Drosophila melanogaster: one gene and its partners. The gene in region 2 interacts genetically with the main gene of each other region. Each region holds a gene or a part of one and is shown on either strand. Other genes may lie near its edges. The genes, in order: Ca-alpha1D, slo and Sod2.

Region 1 (4,245 bases), on a different chromosome or scaffold from region 2:
AGGCTAGTAGCTCCGCTTAAAGAGTCCACTGTTCTAATTAAAATCAAATTTGCAACATAAAGCTCTTATCAGTATTATAACGAAATGGATTATCCCAAATATATCACAATTTTATTTCAAGGTATTATTAGAAAAAGTCCTTGTACCTGTATTCATATTTGAAGTTTCATTCGGACGCACAATATTTATTGCCTTTCCTTTAAAATGCCTTATTCGTTGAGCGTTTTCCTTGCCAAAAGCCAAAAAGCGAAACGCGGTCAAAGCATCGCAGCAACAGGTGTGTTTGGTCTCAGTCGCCACACAGACATGCACATTTTAATCAGACTCACTTAAATAAGCGAAAAGCTTTTTGTTTTGTATTTAGAAAATGGTTTAATAGTTGTAGAAATTCGACGGTGGTGACTTAGATTTTTTTTTGTATTTTTTAGTTTGGTTTTTTTGGTTTTTAGTTTGGACGAGTTTAGAGCGGCGGATTGTAAAAATTTGGCATTTGTTTGTTAGTCTGCAGTGGAGAGTCGTTTTGAGGATTGAAGATCTGAAGCATAATGTGGTTTTACAACAGGACACTGAGGACAGTTTTCAATTACACCAAAACATTAATTATTTTATTACATCGAACACTTTTTTTCGCAGTTGGAAAACCCATCGCATTCAAAGTATCTAGAAATTTCTCTAACCATCCCCCAAATTAGTTTTTAGAACATATTTTCGGTAATCCCCGACCACAAAGCACTTTATTGAATTTTACTCAATTCCATTTGAGTGCACCGACAACGAATTTTCATCGCCATCATGATAACTTATCGGCATTTCCTGGCATTACCTATATATAACCCACTTTTCCGTGGCATGTGAGAGGGAGAGAGCATCAAAACAAAAACACGCGCAATGTTTACATTTTCCTTTGTTGTCGCAACGACTTTTTTGTGACCCAACTGTCAAATGGGCAATCAACTTTGACTGAGAGAAAGCGACTTTCTCCCGTTTTCTCTCCAACTGGCAAGCTCGTTTTGCAGCCGAGCTTTTGGCCTTTGCAGCAAGGAAAATACATGTTTTATTAAATTACCAAAAAAAAGTATTATTATTGCTTTTGCGCTTGTATTTTGTTATTAGTACGAGTATTTCCCAAAAACAAGCTAATCGCAATCACACATTAGTGCGGTTGAATGTCAGCTTGTCTGTGCATTTGGGTAAATATCAAACAACTCTGTAAACGGAAATGGGGTCAAGAGCGCGCATTTGGCAGTAAAAACTAATTTGCTCATGGTCTTTTGATGGCCCGCCTGGGAAATGATGTACGGATACTATTTTGCCTTGCTGGCATATTAATTACATTAAGTATTTCAGGTCTTCCTATGGTTTTTAGCTGCGTTCCGAGAGGTTAAAGCTGACCGATTGACCTACCCCCGCATATGTAATAGCCTTCACACGCACACACACCAGCTCACCACGGCACCAACACATGGGAAAGTGTGAAAAATTTCTAATGGCTCACTGCGAAGAAAGTGAAAGCAGCTTTCCACGGTGTCCCTATAACCTGTCGTTAGTTTCCCCTATTCGACAATCAACATTGCACATTACAATTTCGATATTATTGCCTTGGTTCGTTTGATTTTCCTGGCTTTTCAGTGTTGTATTTTATTGTATTTTTCACACGCGACCATCAGCAACGCGAACAAGTTTAAGGAATCAGCCACAAAAGCACACTGTGCAGGAAAAGTCAGCTTTTCGCAGAGGCAGCCGTGAAAATGTTGATGTTAGCCCAAGAAAAGCTTAGGATCTGGAGCTTGCTTATCTGCTGATGGAAGGGTTCTAAAATTGGGAAAAGCCTGTTTGGTGTAATTAGGTATTCCAAATGTTCCTAGGACGTTGGAATTCAAAAACTCATTTTCATGGAGAAACTATATTCAAATAAAATTTATAGATATTTACATAACCTGGTTTTATACAAAATAAGAAAATAATAAAATCAATCATTTATTTTCAAAAAAATTTCTTTGCAACCCATAAAATTGTGCACGAGGTTTGAATAACGATACCATTTTAACTATTTGAGATGTTTATTCGGAATATACAGGATATGAGTTTCATATAAGTATTTATTCAATCGCTTGAAAATGGGAAATCCCAGAGGTATTGTTCAACACTAAAGTTGTGTTTACAAACAAACCGAAATCGGAACGTAAATGCCGATAAATGAAAGCGGGATGCAAACATTTATGCTAGCCTATTTTTGTTATTTTTTTTTTCTCTCTTTGTTCTCTTTCTATAGATATTTTAAGCATAAGCAAATCAACTTTTATGAATAGATCGAGAGTTTTGTGGTATTGAGTATCTTTATCCCGCTTGCACTCACATTTGTTGTCAATCAGCTGTTGTTGGTGAACGCATGCGCAGATGAAAATGTTTGACAGTTGGCGAGAGACCAAAAAATTTCGAGAGAAAATATTGAAAATTACCATTTTCCCTGAATTATTTTTTCTTTCGCGGGTGAACTTCACTTACACAGCGGGCCGGCCTGAGTCACTGAGAATTTTTTTCTGACGCTTGGCAATATATCATAAGTTATAAAATAAAATCGGTTTTCCCATGGGTGTGTTCCTCGACGATATATACAATTTGGCTAATGATATATTTCCGGCTGAAAGAGACTTCTTGATTTGTTGACTTCTTAGGCCGTTTCATGAAAATAGATGTTCGCAACTTGTTTCTTTAATTTAACAAATGTCATCTAACCAATTTGTTGTGATTATCTGTGCTTTCTACGCGTTTTATAAGTAGATATATACATACACCCATAATATCTGATCACCATTAATTGATTTGTTTATCTCTTCCCGCTATTTTTATGAGTTTGTGTGTGATTATTTATTTTTCGTTTTATCGAAACAATTAAATGACCTGGATTTCCTAAGATGCTTTCATTTCAGTGACCATTATCGCTAAACTAATTCTGCCCAATTTAATTTCAAACATGAAACTTAATAATTATTTTATTGAAGGTCAGAAGATTTTAGTGTGCCTTCCCTAAACAGAGGCATCCATTATTTTTGACTATAAAATTGAATTATTCCGCCTCAACGAGAAATTAGTTTTCATCGTGTCCAATGAGAATTGTGCGGGAAAATATTTTTTAAAACAACAGAAATACGTCAGCGGGTGAAGGGGTTGGGGCGTGAGGGTATAGTGTACGATCGGCATTTCGTCGGTCAATTTCTTTGGGCCAGAACAGCAGACTATTTCGCCGGTCTAAAATTAGACCAAGCACACGTAGTTGGATCTGTCGATGCGGCAGTGTTGTTAGTGCTCCTGTTGGCTCTATTGTAGCCCCCAAAATTTAAAACAGAAAAAAAAAAAACAACAAAAGCGATCCGCAGGCAGCGAAATTAAATTTAGCCTAATTGTATTGCCTTTACTTAAATCAAATTGCATGGCTTATTGAAATATGCAATGCTGTAGCCTGAAAACACCACATGGAACACTTTATCGGCTATCTTTAGACTGCTAAATCGATGCTCATATATATATAAATATATACTTATGTATAGTATATACTTGATCTAGTTAATTGCTGGGGCTGCTTGTTGAACATTTCACTTACAAGCTGATCCCTCGGCGATTCCCTCGCGTGGCAACAATAAAAACACGCTGCGATTTTTATTTGTTGAGAAGCAGTCGTGCGTACGAAAATCCGAGCCAAAAATCCAACGGCAGCATACGTGGCGTTAATATTTTTAAACTTTTTGGGAGATATCTTCTCGACTGCTAGTACATATCATTCGTTGGGCTGCGAATCTGCCAACCTCCTTAAATAATAGTTACTACTATTACGACCCTGTTGAAGTGGAAACATTTTGAAGAACTTGTTCACTTATATCATGTGTATTTTTATATATAGCTGCTAAAAGTGTGCCAGCTCAACATATAATATAGATTTATCTCACACGTTATACATATATTTTTCATATACATATATATTTTTCCACTTTAAACTCGTTTGCACTCTTAACCAATTTGAGTAAACATTTTCCACTTCATCAAATCAATTTTATTGGTGTATTATCAATGAAAAACACCAGAGAACCACTAGAAATTGAAATTTTTTTTTCACCCGTACAGAAAAAGAATTTTCTGCGTACAGCTTAAAAATAAATCTGAACACACACGGTCGCTGGCGCGGGAACCGAACCAAACCAATTCACGCCAACGATCAGCCGAGAACTGTCAGATTGGTGAGATTTCCAA
Region 2 (4,245 bases):
AGTACTGGCTAAACCACCGAGGCAGGGCTCCAGGGCTGCCAACATTCACACGCTCAAATCGCACATCAATGTGTTTGGACGATTTGTGGTCGCTGCGGCTCGCCAATGTTGCACGTGGAAATTCTTGGGCTGGCTGGCTGGATTTTCCTCACTGGCTGATGGATTGCGGCTTGCTGATTATTTCATAATTGCATTTCGGATCCGTGGATGAGTTTCATTGTGTTATCAGCTGCGTTAAGCTTATCAGTTTCATTGTGCGTTTTGGTTTGTTTGCTTCTTTCTTTGCCGTCTTGATCAATAGTTGTTCGTTCTTTTGAATTTGAATTGGAATTTGGTTAAATTAGAAACTGCGCTTAGTCACACTGCTCATGTTTCCTTTCACAACTTATTTAGCTTTGTTTGCCCACGAAATTTTTCCTTGTGTGTTAAGCTGCAAGAGATTTATTAAGTTGAGCGATAATTTAAATACTTTTTAATTTGCCAAGGCAGCGCGACGAACGCGGTAATTAATTATATTTTTTAGTTAGGCTGTCAGCGTTATTTGCGTTTTTAATTTTTTTACGACCGCAGACATTTGTCAATGATATTACGTATATATTTGTATTCGTATATATATTCTATTAAATTAATATTATTTTAGACATTGTATCACCATTTTCCGTAGCCGGAAAAGCAAGCGTGTCAAGTAAATAAATAAATAAAGATGCGAAGCAGACTTGAAAGCAAAATCAGCACTATTCTCGCCGTTTTTAAATTCTCAGTTCTCGGAGAATTCTCTGAGAATTTCTCTCAATTTCTCACAATTGCTGCTGGCGTATTGGCGGCTGCGCGATGCAGGGAATCCGAAAATTGTCGGGCAGAAAGCTTTTTCCTTGCCTGCGAAAGTCGCACATTTTGGTTAAGCATACGCAATGTGGTACCAAAAACTAGAATTTTTGGCAATATACAACATGCTTTACAATTATCACTTTCGTTTGCATGTTATTTGTATATGATACATTTAATGTCAAACTTGTCATTGGTAACTTTTTAAGTTATTCATTTCCTGCCCGATTAGCGAGGCTTTGCTGTCCTGCGGACGGACTCGTTCTTTCGCCTGCGGCATGTCGTTGAAACGGAAACACACTGCCCTAGTTTTTAGTTCCCCTTCGTGTCACACACACACACTCGCACACCCGCAGGACACACACTTTCATGCGCTTAACGAGCTGCCTAATGTGCCTGCAAACAATGGAAACGGGACAAATGCCGAGTCAAATGAAAGTTGCATTTTCATAATAAATAAGCAGGCGACACAATTTCCCACGGCACGCCAACGGGCGGAAAATACAGGGGGCTTGGAAAATGGGCATTCGTGAGCCAATGTAAACAGAGCTTAGTCCTTCGTCCTGGCCGCGCATTGAACTCGCCTGGATTTGGTGGCTTCATTTGTAGGTATCTGGGTATCTGCGTATCCTGGCGCACGCACACACACACCCACGCTCGGCCAGTGACTGACTGACACACATATACCAAGGTATCCTGCGACACACGAAGGACGACGAGTAGGAAGCAACAAAAATAACATTGACGATGACAGCAGCGGCAAAGGCAGGGGAACGATACAAGTGTATCTCCGGCCTGGAACATCGACTTTATCATCGGGTCGGGTCCCTTCGTCCTTTCGTTTTGGGGAACTTGTGGTGTGCTCGTTTTAAAAACGAACGAAAAACTGTGCCGTATGCGCATGTGTGTGTGTCCGTGTGTGTTGACTTCAACAAATGTATCTTTTAAATGAAAACCTGCAGCAGTGCCAAAAAAAAAAGCGAAAAACTGTATTTCTAAAGAGTTTTCCTTTAGTGTTGCTCGTTGGTCCACTTCTTAGCTCCTTTATGTATGCAACACTTTTTTCGCAATCACAATCGCCGTTTTATGGGCGAACACACACACACACACTCGGTCACTAATTAATTGAATTTCCTGCGTTGTAAGTGTGTGTGTGGCACATTTTCACGTTCACTGAGCCCGTTTTCAACGGATACCGAATTTTGCACAATTGCCGTTCCGCAAATGGCCACGATAATTGCCCGGATTTTAAGACGTTTTTTGCTCAATTTTCCCCGTAATTGGCAAACGCAGCTTGAAAATTTTTCACATTTCCAAGTGCTGCAGCTGTGTGTGTGTGTATGGGTCCCGTGAATATACATATACGCGATAGGCACTTTTCCACACAGTCCACTCACTCACACACCCAGAATAAAAGACGCGACGCGCTCAAACGCGAGGACCAACCTTTCTCGTCAGCAGCGTATACAATTCTGCGCGATGTCGACTCCGACGACATGGAAATCGGTGGCCCAATGTACTTCCGCACGGCCCAAGCTCGTCTTTGGGAGCTTTTCGGAGTCCTGCGGTTGGTGCGGGCTGGACGCTTCGTTCGATTCATCAAAACTGGCGCCAAAACCCATTCACTATGAATGACCCAGTGCCGCGGTGATGGTGATGATGATGGTAATGGTGCCGATGCAGGTGCAAGTGAACTTCCGCACGATGCACACGTGGCGTATGAGGAATGTCGGAAGAAATTCATTGCATACTTTTGGGACGGGTGCACAAATGCATGTTAAATGAGATAAAATAATGGCAAATAAAAGTACTATGCATTTGTATTCTTGTATCAATGCTTAAATTAAGTATTATCAATTGCACTATATTTTATTTAACTTTACATAATTTAACAATAAATATTCTAAAACCATTGTTTCGATTATAAGATATTATGTTAGCTGTAGTTACCAAAATAAGTATAACAATAAATGCTATTTATTTTATAAAATATTTATCCCTTCCTTTATTTGATTTTATTTTCTGCAGAATTGTCAATTCAAAACTCTTCAATCGCATATAACATCGATTGCAAGCTCAGCGATTTTGGATTTGAGCTTATCGATAGCTTCAACGATAGTTATGTCACCTGGGTTTATTTTGGTCTGAACGATCGAAGCCGGCATAGATTTTTTCGTCTGCAAACCAGAACTAGTCTGAATCCTCTAAGGGATTCGGGAGCAACGAGAAGCAGCAGAAGGACCATGACGACGGCCGTGCTGGGAGGCGGATTGAGTGGACTATCCGCCGGATACTACCTGTTGCGGCGATTCGGGAAGCCGCTGACCATCTACGAGGCCTCGCCCCGTGTGGGCGGATGGGTGCGGTCGGAGAATCGCAAGGATCGCAACTTCATCTTCGAGAGCGGACCGCGAACCATACGCCCAGTTGGTGAGCCAGGTGCCAATACGCTAGAATTGGTGGAGGATCTGAAGCTGGAGGTGACTCCCATTCGACGCAGTCATGTCGCAGCACGCAACCGAATGCTGTATGCCAAGGGACAGCTCTGCATGCTGCCCAACAGTCCCAAGGGTCTCTTCGGCGTCCTGCCTCCCTTCACGAAGCCGCTATACAAAGCGGTTCTTCGCGATCTGTTCACAGCAAGCAAGAAAGCGAAGCTGGAGGATGAGAGCATCTACAGTTTCGCTGAGCGGCGGTTTGGTAAGGAGATAGCCGACTACGCCATCAGTCCCATGATCTGCGGTATTTGCGCCGGTGACGCGCGAGAAATAAGTGTGCGCTTCCTGATGGAGGGGCTCTTTGAAAAGGAACAGAAGTACGGAGGAGTGCTCAAGGGCACACTCATTTCCCGCTTTGAGAAGAACAAGACCAAGGACACCAAGGATGGACTATTTGCCGAAAGACAGCCCAAGCTGTATGCGCAGGCGGTAAAGGAGAAGTGGGCCATGTACGGGCTGAAAGGCGGTCTGGAGAACCTACCCAAAACTATGCGAAAGTACTTAGGTGAGCGGGATGTGAACGTGCAGCTAAGCAACGAATGCCGGAACCTGACCTTCAGCAGCTCCGGGGTTCGAATGAACATCAAGGATGCCGAAGTTCCGGTGGAGCATGTGGTCAGCTCCCTGCCCGCCTACAAACTCGCGCCCCTGGTAAAGCAGCAGCATCCCTCGCTGAGCGCCCAACTTTTGAGCATTCCGTACGTGGATGTGCTGGTAGTGAACATGCAGTTCCCCGGCAAGCTACTCAAACAAGACGGCTTTGGATTGCTAGTGCCGCCAGTGGAAAAGTTACCTCTGCTCGGCGTCATCTTCGACAGCTGCTGCTTCGACATGGGCGAGAACACTGTGCTTACCGTGATGATGGGTGGCCATTGGTTCGACCAGTGGTTCGGTGATCGTCCAAGCCCCAAGCAGATTCTTG
Region 3 (4,183 bases), on a different chromosome or scaffold from region 2:
GATGTTCCATATCTACTATTTTGAAACGCGCTGAATGACAGGTTGCATCCATATGCTCGGGGAAATTCGCAAACAAGAGTGGAGAGGTTTTATTTATAGAATCCACTGGGGGCGGACAGCTGCTGAAGGACCTCAAGCAGGATCCGCAACAGGACGAAAGTTGGAAAAGTTCCCGAAGGGAGATGCGTGCGCACTTCTGGGGCAACTGGCTGTGGAATATTGATTTTTCACACATTTTCCCGAATACCGTCAAGTGGAGTTTTTCAAAAAACTAATCGAAAACACCTTTAATTGAAACCCAATCTCATATTTTCTTATCAAGTTTTGTGTTTTCTTTGGTAACTTACTTACGTTTAGAAGTTTAGAAGTTAAATTCCTTGATGGGCGTCAACAGTTCTCCTCACACACTCACAATCACAGTTCTTTATTAAATTATTATTGCACTCAAGTGGTTTATTTTGTATGTTTTTCATTCGTCACCGCCCTCAGGAAATTAAATGATTTTCCTTTGTTTCGTACTGGTCTCTCGATTTCAAAACTCCGGGCGATTTTCGAGGATGGCCATTACGCGAACAGGCAACAAACGACTCTGCCAGCGGCTGGCCATTTGTTCCACCATTCGGATACGCGTGCTGGAAAATTGTTTGCAGCTGCGCGCACGCAAGTTCGGGAAAACTCGGTGGAAATGTCAATTTTCCTCCCCCGATTTCGCGGCAGGCTGACTTTTGTTTTGTTTTTGTTTGGCTCGCGCACAGCTGATTTGCTAGAGATGGCACCATGGGCGGCAGTGTTGTAAAACATTTACAGTATTTGCGATATTTTAATTTAATATAAAAATTAATTTTTTTGGAGCGTAATAAAATTGATAAAAATAAAAAATATGAATAGGTATATGTATATTTTTTAATTCCTCAATGAAGTAATAGTTTCAATACGCCTTTGTGAAGCGTTATCTTCGGAAATTATGTTTTAAATTGTTTTATTCCCATTCATAAAAATTATAAAAATTAGTTGCTAGCTGGTACCAATTTATTAGCCGCAACTTAGACTACAATTTAGGATCTCCGATCCGCAGATGCTTATAGATTAAACATACGCAATCGCCGGCTGTGCTTAGCAACCGAGCTTCTTGGCCTCCTGGAAGCGGCACGAGATGTCATCCCAGTTGGCGATGTCCCAGATGGCCTCCACGTAGGAGGGACGCACGTTCTTGTACTGCAGATAGTAGGCGTGCTCCCAGACATCGATGCCGAAGAGCGGGATCAGGCCGGTGGAGGCCTCCAGGGGATCCTGGTTGGGCAGGGCGGCCAGTTGCAGTTTGCCCGACTTCTTGTTGAAGCCCAGCCAGCCCCAGCCGGAGCCCTGGACCGCCACGGTCAGCGTGGTCAGCTCCTTTTTGAACTCCTCGAGGCTCTTCCACTGCGACTCGATGGCCTTCTTCAGATCATCGCTGGGCTGGGTCTTGTTGGGCGAGAGGTTCTGCCAGAAGATGGTGTGGTTGATGTGGCCACCGCCATTGAAACGCAGGGCAGGAGCCAGCTGAATCAGCTTGGTGGTGTCGCTCTTCGACTTGGCCTCCTCCAGCTGCTCCTCGGCGGCATTTAGATTGTTGACGTAGGTCTGGTGGTGCTTCTGGTGATGCAGCTCCATGATCTCCCGGCAGATGATAGGCTCCAGGGCGGCATAGTCGTAGGGCAGCTTCGGTAGGGTGTGCTTGCCACGCACCGCCAGGCTGCAAAGGGTTAAGTGTGTCTTGTTTTATAATGTCCTCAAGATCAGGGTCGCCATTTGTTGCTATTTATGTAATCAGCCGGCATCGATTTGGGCATACTTTTTTTCGCAACTTACCTTGCAGTTTGCGAAATTTTACGGGCCACGAACATATCTGCGTTTTATTCGACTGCTAATAAGGCTAAGTCCCGATATCAGATTTTATATCAAATAAAACAAGGCTTACGTTCTCGTTATTTCGCTTGTTCTATTTGAACAATTTACTGCTAGAGATGAGCAGATGAGAAAATATCGAAAGACCCCAATCAGTCAGTGATGTGAGATCAACTTATATATATTGAAGTTAAATAGTAAAACTAAAAGAAATTAAAAACTATTTTTAATTGAAACATTGCACTGAAACATATTCAAATCATATTGAGGATTTCTTAAATATTTCTTATGTTTAAATACTACTTTAGTGACTATTAGCATATTTTAGCTGCTTACGTATCGACTGCATCCATTCGATTGATACTTGAATTAATCGATTTTTGGCCTCTGTATGTCATGGCGCTAAATTGGAAATAAACCATGAAATTAACGTCATAAGTTTAAAAATCCGACTGGAACACAGCACACAACATGTCTACATTTCAAATACCTTCCCGAATCAAAATCGATATAACAAATAAACGGGCACAGAACATTCTTCACAAATATCTACATTTACGTAAGTTGCTTAAATAAGCTAAAGATTTTATGATTTGACCATGATTCGTTCAGCAACCTCTCCTGGAAACATGAGCAGCGAGGTAGATAGTAATTCACACCACGCCGCAGTGGTTATTGACAACGGCTCTGGAGTATGTAAGGCTGGATTCTCCCCAGAAGATACTCCCCGTGCTGTCTTCCCGTCGATTGTGGGCAGACCTCGTCACCTGAACGTCCTGCTGGATTCCGTGATCGGTGATAGTGTTATTGGCGAGGCGGCAGCCCGAAAAAGGGGAATACTAACCCTAAAGTATCCCATCGAGCACGGAATGGTCAAGAACTGGGATGAAATGGAGATGGTTTGGCAGCACACGTACGAGCTCTTGCGGGCGGATCCAATGGATTTGCCGGCTCTACTCACCGAAGCCCCACTGAATCCGAAGAAGAATAGAGAGAAGATGACAGAGATTATGTTCGAACACTTTCAGGTGCCAGCTTTTTATGTAGCAGTTCAGGCTGTGCTCTCACTTTACGCCACCGGGCGTACTGTGGGCATTGTGGTGGACTCGGGTGATGGTGTGACGCACACGGTACCGATCTACGAAGGATTTGCCCTGCCCCACGCCTGTGTACGAGTTGATCTGGCCGGCAGGGACCTCACCGATTATCTATGCAAGCTGCTTCTGGAGAGGGGCGTTACAATGGGCACCTCTGCTGAACGGGAAATCGTGCGTGAAATCAAGGAGAAACTCTGCTATGTGTCAATGAACTATGCCAAGGAAATGGATCTCCACGGAAAGGTGGAAACCTATGAGCTGCCAGATGGGCAGAAAATCGTTTTGGGCTGCGAGAGATTCCGCTGCCCGGAGGCTCTCTTCCAACCCAGTTTGCTGGGTCAGGAGGTGATGGGCATCCACGAGGCCACCCATCACTCGATAACCAACTGCGACATGGATCTGCGAAAGGATATGTATGCGAACATTGTTCTCTCTGGCGGTACGACCATGTTTCGTAACATCGAGCATAGATTCCTGCAAGACCTAACCGAAATGGCTCCACCATCCATCCGAATCAAGGTTAACGCTAGTCCAGACCGCAGATTCTCCGTTTGGACGGGTGGTTCCGTCTTGGCCTCACTCACGAGCTTCCAAAACATGTGGATCGACAGCTTGGAGTACGAAGAAGTTGGTTCCGCCATAGTCCATCGAAAGTGTTTTTAGTTAAGGAGGGTGTTCAAATATTCGTTATGAGCAATGATTATTATATATTTTCTATTTGCTAATGAATGTAATTTCTTAAACAAATCTAGTCGATATAAAATAAACAAAACTGGGGGTTACCTACACAAAAATTAGTTGCATTTGGGAAGCACAAGGCCCATGTAACGCCCTTCTAACAGCACAAATGCAACACTATCTAAACTAACCGCCAGATTAACTAGCCCCCAGGTAAACTAACTCCCATATAAAAAATTCTTAGGTAAATTAATCCCTAGATCAAATAACCCCAAGTTAAATTAACCCGCAGATACAACATCCCCCAGCTAAAAACAAAAATCCTTAAAAAAAAACTCCCAGTCAAACGAACCTGGTGGTAAATTAGCAACAAGATAAAATAGCAATCATTGAACCAAACAAATAACTTCTAAACTCTTATTCTGATTAATTTCGAATGTTTTAGGCTAAATGAAAATACAAATGTGTTCGATTGTAACATCTCGGTGGGAATCACAATAACGCAGTAACCTTAACTTCAATTC

What was found.
Region 1: of slo (region 2) and Ca-alpha1D, changing one suppresses a phenotype caused by changing the other (phenotypic suppression), as found in Drosophila melanogaster (one study listed by BioGRID).
Region 3: of slo (region 2) and Sod2, changing one suppresses a phenotype caused by changing the other (phenotypic suppression), as found in Drosophila melanogaster (one study listed by BioGRID).

Annotation. Positions count from the first base shown.
Region 1 is NT_033779.5:16,165,808-16,170,052, reverse strand, and holds the start of Ca-alpha1D (Ca[2+]-channel protein alpha[[1]] subunit D), read right to left. Parts: upstream 1,708-4,245; 5' UTR 1,582-1,707; exon of another isoform or gene 1,496-1,581; intron 567-1,495; 5' UTR 157-566; coding exon 147-156; intron 1-146.
Region 2 is NT_033777.3:24,660,549-24,664,793, reverse strand, and holds the start of slo (slowpoke), read right to left. Parts: upstream 2,304-4,245; 5' UTR 2,231-2,303; intron 431-2,230; 5' UTR 1-430. Other genes in the region: Ppox (protoporphyrinogen oxidase), read left to right, coding at 3,069-4,245. UniProt on the Drosophila melanogaster protein: Potassium channel activated by both membrane depolarization or increase in cytosolic Ca(2+) that mediates export of K(+). Its activation dampens the excitatory events that elevate the cytosolic Ca(2+) concentration and/or depolarize the cell membrane.
Region 3 is NT_033778.4:16,771,907-16,776,089, forward strand, and holds Sod2 (superoxide dismutase 2 (Mn)), read right to left. Parts: upstream 2,010-4,183; 5' UTR 1,884-2,009; coding exon 1,849-1,883; intron 1,733-1,848; coding exon 1,114-1,732; 3' UTR 879-1,113; downstream 1-878. Other genes in the region: Arp53D (Actin-related protein 53D), read left to right, coding at 2,356-2,443, 2,497-3,644. UniProt on the Drosophila melanogaster protein: Destroys superoxide anion radicals which are normally produced within the cells and which are toxic to biological systems.